2 linked regions of the Schizosaccharomyces pombe genome follow. The protein of the gene in region 1 interacts with the protein of each later gene in a biochemical or structural test. Each region holds a gene or a part of one and is shown on either strand. Other genes may lie near its edges.

Evidence for each region.
Region 2: of the proteins of ark1 (region 1) and mra1, one has a biochemical effect on the other in vitro, tested with the Schizosaccharomyces pombe proteins (one study listed by BioGRID).

What each region holds. Positions count from the first base shown.
Region 1 is NC_003421.2:138,998-144,088, reverse strand, and holds ark1 (Aurora-B kinase Ark1), read right to left. Parts: upstream 2,460-5,091; 5' UTR 2,428-2,459; coding exon 1,360-2,427; 3' UTR 1,051-1,359; downstream 1-1,050. Other genes in the region: peptidase Atp23, read left to right, coding at 246-795, 862-869; serine racemase Sry1, read left to right, coding at 3,896-4,867. UniProt on the Schizosaccharomyces pombe protein: Component of the chromosomal passenger complex (CPC), a complex that acts as a key regulator of chromosome segregation and cytokinesis.
Region 2 is NC_003424.3:2,228,865-2,233,318, reverse strand, and holds mra1 (rRNA (pseudouridine) methyltransferase Mra1), read left to right. Parts: upstream 1-1,865; 5' UTR 1,866-1,906; coding exon 1,907-2,986; 3' UTR 2,987-3,356; downstream 3,357-4,454. Other genes in the region: protein Edc1, read left to right, coding at 1-170; U3 snoRNP-associated protein Utp11, read right to left, coding at 3,555-4,304. UniProt on the Schizosaccharomyces pombe protein: S-adenosyl-L-methionine-dependent pseudouridine N(1)-methyltransferase that methylates the pseudouridine corresponding to position 1189 (Psi1189) in S.cerevisiae 18S rRNA.

The DNA of each region.
Region 1 (5,091 bases):
TTTGCAGTCCATGGGCTCGGAAAGGGTGTAATCTTTCTTATATATTTACGAAGAACTTCACTAGTGTTTTCCCTCTGTCGATCACTATTTTCGGGGTTTCGCCTGTTCATGCGAATTGCTACTCAACCACCTAATGTTGTACAGGTAAAATTTATTAATTGACATTTATTAGAGATATCGTTTGTTGTCTCCATAAACTCCTTTGAAGGCCTTTTTATAAGAATTAAGGAAACGTGCATTTAGATATGAGCGAAGATCCACAAAGTTGGTCGAAAGAGAGGAAAAATTGTGAGCGCGTAAAGCGCGCTTTAATGTCCCAATCTCCAGTAATTATTTTTTTAAAAACTGCCTTGGATCGTTTGAATTGCAACATTGAAGCTAAAGACATTTCTTGCCAGCCTTGTGATGCACAAAGTACTGGAGGTTACATTCCCGGTAAAGGGATAGTTCTGTGTGAAAACAGACTTTATACTAAAAAAATGGCAGAGAATACAATTGCCCATGAAATGATACACATGTTTGACGACCACAGGTTTGAAGTCGATTGGAACAATTTGAGACATCAGGCTTGTTCAGAAATTCGTGCTAGTAGTATGAGTGGTGAGTGTCGCTGGACCAAAGAACTTCGTTTTGGTAACATTAAAACTTTTCGGAAGCATCATCAAGAATGCGTCAAACGACGAGCTACTATCTCCGTACAAGGTAACCCGAATTGTAAAAGCAAAGAGCAAGCAGAAGCAATCGTTGAAGAAGTGTTCAATTCCTGTTTCAACGATTTCAGGCCTTTTGAAAAAAGTACGTTCGCTGTAGTTTTGTTCATTCATTTTTTTCTTCGTACTAACTATTCATTCTTTCGTCTAGTCTATTGAAATACCAGTTTACAAAAGTCAGATAGTTATTATGTCAACTCCCTTCCCCTCCCATTTTATAATATCCCGTACAGCATTTACGTTGGCTTTTAAAAAATATCGAAGCATACTTCTCACTTGTTATGCAACTTATTATGTGCTTGGCGTACTTTATCTTTATACATATTGTAACAGTTTTTTTGGAAGTTATTATTAGCTTGGCTAAAGTGATGATAAATTTTTAAATAGTTTTTATTAGGAAAATGAATGTCTTCTAAGTGATTTCGAAAAGAAAATCTGGAAAACGATTAGTTTATGGTGGTGATCCTCTATTAAATGAGTGTGTTATATTACATATAATTAAACCTCCATAACCCCCAAAGATCAAAAAAGTTCTGAAGGAATATAGTGAGCTGCGCGATTAAAAAGAGCGCTGAAACAAAAAGAAAGTAGTAATGCAAAAATGTAGTGAGAAGAAGGAAAAATTAAATAAAAAGTACCAAGATGGCGGTTAGGAAGATTCAGAACTTTTGCGAGTCCATGAATCTTTATATTTTACAATCCAAGGGTGCCTCATAACTTGTTCCAAACTCATTCTTTTTTCAGGATTATGCTGTAATAGACGAGAAATAAGATCCCGTGCATCAGGAGGAACAAAGCTTGGAATTTTTAAGTCAACTTTGGCGATACGCTTATACGTAGCTGAATGACCAGACATGTCCTCAAAAGGCGGTGCTCCCACCAAAAACTCATAAGTTAAGACACCCAACGACCAGAGATCAACTTTTTCGGTATGCTCTTTTCCCTCCACCATTTCAGGTGGTAAGTAATCTAATGTACCACATAAAGTGGTACGACGGTTAGAAGGTGCATGGACACTCCAACCAAAGTCAGAAAGCTTGATTTCTCCATCAATTCCTAATAAAATGTTCTCAGGTTTGATATCACGGTGTATTACATGCTTCTTATGCAAGTAGGATAAGGCGTTAGCCATTTGGAAGATATATTTAGACGCAACTTCTTCTGAGAATCGTTTTGCACGACGCAAGTGTTGATACAACTCACCCCTGCCAGCAAACTCTAAAATCAAATAAATCCTTTTTTCATCATGAAAGTGCCCATATAGCCGTAAAATGTTTTTATGGCGAAGATTTGATTGAATCTCAATTTCTCGTCGAACTTGCTTTTCTATCTTTGACTGGACAAGTTCAGACTTATGCAATGTTTTGAGAGCCACAATAAACCCGGTCTTCTTCTCTTTAGCTAGATATACCCTTCCAAACTTTCCTTTCCCTAAGGGTTTTCCAATTTCAAACATTCCAATATGAAATTCTCGCCATTGAGGACCAGCTGATGAAGGTACTCCAGCAATTGGCTCTTCTATCTTACGAAGGGAAGAATTGAACTTGCTATTTGAAGTCCGTTTGTTTTCCTTCCCATTTGCTAGACTAACATTATTTACTTGTCGTTGGTTTGATACTGCAAGTCGTAAAAGCTGTTGTCTCCCAGGATTAGCTGTGGTTGATGGAGTTGACACAGAAAGGCAATTCAAAGAATCTGCCAACTTTGAATCTGACATTATTTCGTAAAAAAACGCTGATGTTGGCTTTTGACAAGTTCGTCCAGAAGTAGGAGCGTTGTTGTTTACATTTTGAGGTAACACCATGTTTACTGAGTCTTAACACAGCCTGCTATTATCTTCCTTTCTTTCAAACTAAGAAGGAGGCTCTGATTCCCGTTGTTATTTATGAATACTCAAAGGGTGTTTCAAAGATTATTTACATGGAAATTATGAACGAATTTATTTAGCATACGAACCCACTTCGATTCTACAAATGTTATTAAAAAAAACGACATGTATCGTTCTCAACAAAATAAATAAAAGGAAAACAAACAGAATATTCTATATCATCCCAATACCACAGGCTTAAAAGTATATTTAGTATCTGTTTTTTATTCTTTTCAATGTGTCCACTGTTTGTTTACCGAATAACGATATACAGTGAACTATTCAATACTAGTTATAGAATACTTACAATATTAACGCTTCAGAAGGAGACAGTGCTAACTAACAAGAAAAGAAAAGAATTCAGTAAGTAGAGTAACACCAAAAGAAAAGGACCGAAAAGTGAATTAACAATTGTAGTTGATAATAAATTATCGTATTTCTCAATCAATTTAGAAAAGTACACGATAAAAAATCTCCGTCAGGGGGAATCGAACCCCCGCCGCATCGGTGAGAGCGATGAATCCTAGCCACTGGACCATGACGGATTATATAATTCTGCGATTGTTTTAGCATTAATTATCAGCTTTTTCATTCTTGATTAAGATTTCTCATAAAAAAAAAGAACTCTTTAGTAACGAGTTATATGCATAGTAATGTGAAAGTCAAAACACCGTTTGTTGGATATTTATTTCTAAACTGATTTAAGCTGCAGTCAAGTCCATTGCTGAGCAGATACAGTTTACAGAAATTAACGAGGCTTGGTTCAAACTATTGATATATTTAACCAATGCTGCATGACTGTTCATCACGCTAAAGGTAGAAAGACGTTACTATTCTGGCACTCAATGAGTCGAAACAATTGTTATACATGCATTTTCGTTATATTCTATGACACTCTTAACAGACTGTTTCTACATCTTGAAATTCTCACTATATAATGTTAACATTTATTACAGAGGAATACTACAAATAGTGATTAGCATTATACTCGCTATGCTACATGTCACTGTTTTATGAACTAGCAAGTTGGAGCTCCGTCCTGCTGTTTCATTTCCATTTGGTTCTAATTGTGTAAGTGTCTTTACAATTGTCGCCTATAAATTCGTTTCCGAGTTGGGCTCGCATTTTTTGACCTTCTTTTCATAGTAAAGATAAGATAGCGTTACAGTTGACGGTTCTCTCTATAAATGATCGAGAGCTCTGCTTGATTTGACATCTCTCATTGTCGTTAAATTCTTCAGTTTGCATTTTAAGACTGAATAGTTTACAGAATAAAAGGATATTTTCACTCTTTTTAAATTTTTAAAAAACTACGACAATGAGCGATAACCTGGTGCTTCCTACCTATGATGATGTTGCTTCAGCTAGTGAGCGAATTAAGAAATTCGCCAACAAAACCCCAGTACTCACGTCGAGCACAGTAAATAAAGAGTTTGTGGCAGAAGTGTTTTTTAAATGTGAAAATTTCCAAAAAATGGGTGCTTTCAAATTTCGCGGTGCCCTTAATGCTCTTTCTCAACTCAATGAAGCTCAACGTAAAGCTGGTGTTTTGACGTTTTCTTCTGGTAATCATGCTCAGGCCATTGCACTGTCGGCAAAGATCTTGGGAATTCCAGCAAAAATCATTATGCCACTCGATGCACCCGAAGCCAAGGTCGCTGCCACGAAAGGCTATGGTGGTCAAGTAATCATGTATGATAGATACAAAGATGATAGAGAAAAGATGGCCAAAGAAATTTCTGAAAGAGAAGGTCTTACCATTATCCCTCCTTACGATCACCCCCATGTACTTGCTGGTCAAGGAACCGCAGCTAAGGAACTGTTTGAAGAGGTTGGCCCTCTTGATGCACTTTTTGTTTGTCTCGGAGGCGGTGGCTTGCTTTCTGGATCAGCACTTGCTGCTCGCCATTTTGCTCCAAACTGCGAAGTTTATGGAGTTGAACCTGAAGCTGGAAACGATGGGCAACAGTCCTTTAGGAAAGGATCTATCGTACATATTGATACACCAAAAACTATAGCCGATGGTGCTCAAACTCAACATTTGGGTAACTACACGTTTTCCATTATAAAAGAAAAGGTCGATGATATATTGACTGTGTCCGACGAGGAACTAATTGACTGTCTTAAGTTTTATGCCGCACGTATGAAAATTGTAGTCGAACCCACTGGATGTCTTAGCTTTGCGGCAGCGCGCGCTATGAAGGAAAAGCTAAAGAATAAACGAATTGGTATCATTATAAGTGGAGGAAACGTAGACATTGAGCGTTATGCCCATTTCTTATCACAGTAATCATAATTATCATCTTTTTGATCAAATAAAAACCGTTATTTAACTGCTCTTACTTTTCGTGATGCTTACATGCTGCTAAATTATGGAAATGAGCCTATCTCGCAATTGATTGTTTGCGTATAATGAAGCAACATTTTGCGTTAGGAAAGGTATATAGAATTGAATGCTGGACAAAAAATTAATTCCTTTTACTTAATCTTTGAAAAATACCCTAGACCAATAAA
Region 2 (4,454 bases), on another chromosome or scaffold:
CTTCTTTTAATCACTTCAATGCTGCCGGCCATCCCACTGGTAACATTACCCCTACTTTGAATTCCCCTAATAACGGCATTCATTGTCATTCTACTTCTGCCCTAGACTTATTGTTTCATCGCGATCGTGAACAGCGCTTGTTCCGTATGCTGCGTCAAGGAAGTGCATAGTTTCATTGGATGCTTATTTATGTCTAAGGACATATCACCTTTTTAAGCCTCGTGTTCTGTTCTAACTATTCCACTTTTTTGTTTCACCTTCTTTCGTCTCCGCGTTTATCTACACGTGTTCGTTGTAGCACTATTTATTTGAACATTGGCCAAGAGAATTTATCATAGTCTAGTATTTTTGCTAGTATTATGACTTTCTTACTATCACCCTATGTACCTCTGTCTTTCTGTTTTTTTGGATTATAGAATTTAGCTCTCTATATGGGTTAATTTTGTTTCCTTCGCTTTTGGTTTTTAGAGGATTTCATACAAAAGCTACTGAATTCCTTTTCTAACGGCTTATAGTTAAAAGAAATGCCAACGTTTTTAATGGATTTCTTGGATTTGAAATCTTGATTTTTATTGACTAGATTTCCTTAACTTCATCTTATTCCTTGTTAGTTAATTGAGCGAGCAATTCATTTATAATATGGAAATGTTCGTCAATGACTATTTATCGAAAATGTGCCTCGTTTACTTTTCGATTTGTATGCTTAGAATGGGCATTTGTTACCTTTTTTATGAGCGTTGGGTGTTATGATCTGCATATTGCATTAATTTTATTCTGGCTAGTTTTTATTATGCTATTAATAATCTCGTTGTGCTTTTATCGAGATTTGTTTGAAACTTGTTTCACCGGTCTCGTACATTTTTTTCTCTTGTGTTTTTTTCTTTTAATTTTCCTAATTATTACTGACGTGTTGCCTATTGCTTTGCGATGACAGTACATCTTATTTTCCTGTGTCGAGGATTATAGTTATAATCTTCTTTTCCTCTCATGAACTTGGCTTTGGTTGCCAACCTTTTAAACTTTCGTCCATGATATACATGATGTTTGCTAATATAAGTGATATTTATGTGGTCACCTTTTTTGGCGAATGTTGTAACCTATCTTCTACGCTCAAGGAGTACATGCAATGTGCTTTATGCTTTTTTTTTTTTGAATGTTTGCAATTTTCAAGCCCTCGGTTTTTGAGCTTTCATTGCTAGTCAAGATAGTCAACTTATCGTTGATTATAATATCTTTCACTCGCAAATCGTTTTTACGTAAAGACTGAATTACGGCAACATTTATTGCTCTTATTTGTAAATAGTTTTGGAATCATTTCTTTTTAAAACTTTAAATTTATCTCTTTCCTTCATTGTTTACAAATAATGTTGCATTAAGTGGTGATTTAGTTTTTCTAATATAAACACATATTTCCGTCACTGATGTGTCGCGTTTGTGTATTTATCCACCTGATATGTGCAACAGTATTAGAAGGCACGGTTTTTCTGTGTGTTGACGATACCTGTTTACACATTCCTTTTAATCCACTTCCTTTACTTCTTTTCCGTTTTTTTTTTATTTTTATTTTTATTTTTTTTTTTTTTGCTGAAGATGGACTTATATTACCTGCATTTTTTTAGTTAATATAGAATTCATTGAAAACAAATTTTCGGCGTGTGTAGATTTTTTATAATTTTTTTGTTGATTTAGATAAGTCATTGTTTTGTTCAGCTCAATGCGCGAGTGATATGTTTGGTTTTACACTTGTTGGTTTAAGCGGATCGTAAGTTCGTAAATATGCGTTATCTTGTTTAAGCAAGGTAGGTTAGATCTGATAGTTATTTGTAGCTACCACCAAAAGCAAATTTCTCAAGCCATTATTTTTTGTCGAAACCCAATATCTGGTAGACTAGCTTTTTCATCATTCATGCCTACTTATTCCAAAAGGAAGTCTAGAGGCTCTTTAGAGGTTTCTGAGAAAACCAATCAACCCAAATTCATAAAGAGAAGTCAATCGAGTGAAACAATAACGTCAGGTGAAACTGCTAGTGAATTGATGCAAGATGAAAAGGAGCAGAGTAATGGTGCAGTAGGTTCTATTGAAGATGAAGAATTACAACGACTTCGTGAGAATCAAGCTTCTGTTGAAGCTCTTTCGAAAAAGCCAGAGTCTATCGATCGAGAGTTGGGTGTTGAGGCTTTAGAAATAGATAATGTAGTAAAGTCAGATGAAGAAAAGGAGGATCCCAATGGTGCTTCTTCCAAAACCGTCAAAGCTCGTCCACTTCCTGCAGGGTCGGTTCATCGTGTTACTACCCATATGGCGCCAATACCAGCGAGGTCAATTGGTTCTCATGATACTACAACACAGCGTTTGATTGTCGTATTGGACCAAGCATGTTTGGAAATTTATAAAGTTGGCAAGGCTAAGGATGCAAAATATCAACTTCTAAATTGCGATGATCATCAAGGTATTTTAAAAAAGTTAAACCGTAACATTGCTCAAGCGCGTCCTGATATTACTCATCAATGCTTATTGACTCTTTTGGATTCTCCACTGAATAAGGCAGGTCGTCTTCAAGTGTACATTCACACAGCTAAGAAAGTTTTGATTGAAGTGAATCCCTCTGTTCGTATTCCTAGAACTTTCAAACGTTTTTCCGGTTTGATGGTGCAGCTTCTTCACAAGCTCTCTATTCGTAGTGTGAATGGCAATGAAAAGCTTCTAAAGGTGATCAAAAATCCAGTTACAGACTACCTTCCTCCGAACTGTCGAAAGGCAACATTATCTTTTGATGCTCCTACTGTTCCTCCTCGCAAGTATCTTGAGACTTTACAGCCCAACCAATCGGTTTGTATTGCAATTGGTGCTATGGCTCATGGTCCGGACGATTTTTCGGATGGTTGGGTTGACGAAAAAATCAGTATTAGTGACTACCCTCTGAGTGCAAGTATTGCTTGCTCTAAATTTCTTCATTCTATGGAAGACTTTCTAGGAATTGTATAATTATTAAGGTAAAAATTTTTGCATTGTCTTCATTGTTATTCAGCTTATATCCTGTGCTATAGATATTCACTTTTTGATATAGCTTGAATTTTTTGGTACGTTTCGTACTTTACATTTTCTTTAGAGAGTATTAGAATAAAATAACAACTATAATTCTAGCTTCTGCAATTACAAAAAGAAAGGAAACAATTTATCACACTACAAGGCATTGAATTAAACCATTCCATACACTTTTAAAGTTTGGGAATTACAACCTAAGACAAACTCTTAATACTCACCGATAAAATAATTCGGTAATATTGAATGACTCACAACACTATGAAGCTCAATATGAGAAATAGATGGATATTTGCTTAGAATTAGACAGATGATTAAACCAAATTATTCATAAATAAGCAATCCATTCGTTAAAAATTCCAAAACCTAAGTACATTCATACTAAATAGAGAAAATGATAAATAACAAAAAAGGTACAACTAAATGAAAGAAACGAAATAACAACCAGTAAATCACAAACACAACAAACTGAAAACAGTTCCTCAATTATGTTAGGAGCAATTTAAGGAAATTATCGTTTTCTCTCATTCCTCCACTTGTATACCGGTTTTCCGTTTACGACCTTCTTTTTCTGACGGCCTCCTTTTCCCTGTAAAAGTCTATCAAGCTCGACACGTTCTTCAGCAGCCGCCAATTTTTTGTCGCGTTTCTGGCGCAAAAGAAGCTCGGTCGCCGCCTTTTCTTTTAATTTTGAGTGCAATTTTCCAGAAAAAGGCTGGTTTGTCAGTTCATTGTTTTCAATTTGATCTTTCTTTACACGATTTTCGGTTCGACCAACCAGATCATCTGTAGTTTGGAAAAATTCAGCTGGGTTAAAACTTTTTGCCTCTTTAACATTGTCTACGAAGATGGTGTGCTTCCTGGATTCATTTTTATTCCGATGAGCTCCCACAGTATGCATTTGTTGTTCCAAATGATCAATTTTAGCACGTTCAACATTGCGATGATGCCGAATCCAGCCAATGTCTTGAGTTTTCAAAATTTTGATTGTGTCCATATCGATGGTTGAATCCTCGCGCTGTTCAAGGGGTACTCCATTTTTGGTCTTTTTGTGTGTCATTTCATGATAAAACTCATCAGGGTTTCTTTCAAGGGCTTTTTCACGAAGACGTTTTAACTTCTTTTGCTTTGTCTTATAATCCTGAGCACGCTGCGCATAATCCTTTCGTTTCTCTAGCAAACCCCATTTTCGTCTTTCAAAAGGCTGAGCTCTTTCTCGATGATTTTTCCTTTGACCTGCATTTTTAAAAGACGAAGACATCTTTAAAAAAGTTATGGTTAATGTTTGGCTGTTTGTCAAAGAACCGAATTATTGGCTTTTAGCAGATTCGCCTCTGCAAAATATTTGTGTTTAGGGCACTACAAGTGTTAGCGTGCAATGTGCTCAGGACGTTAAGATACGCTATTACCC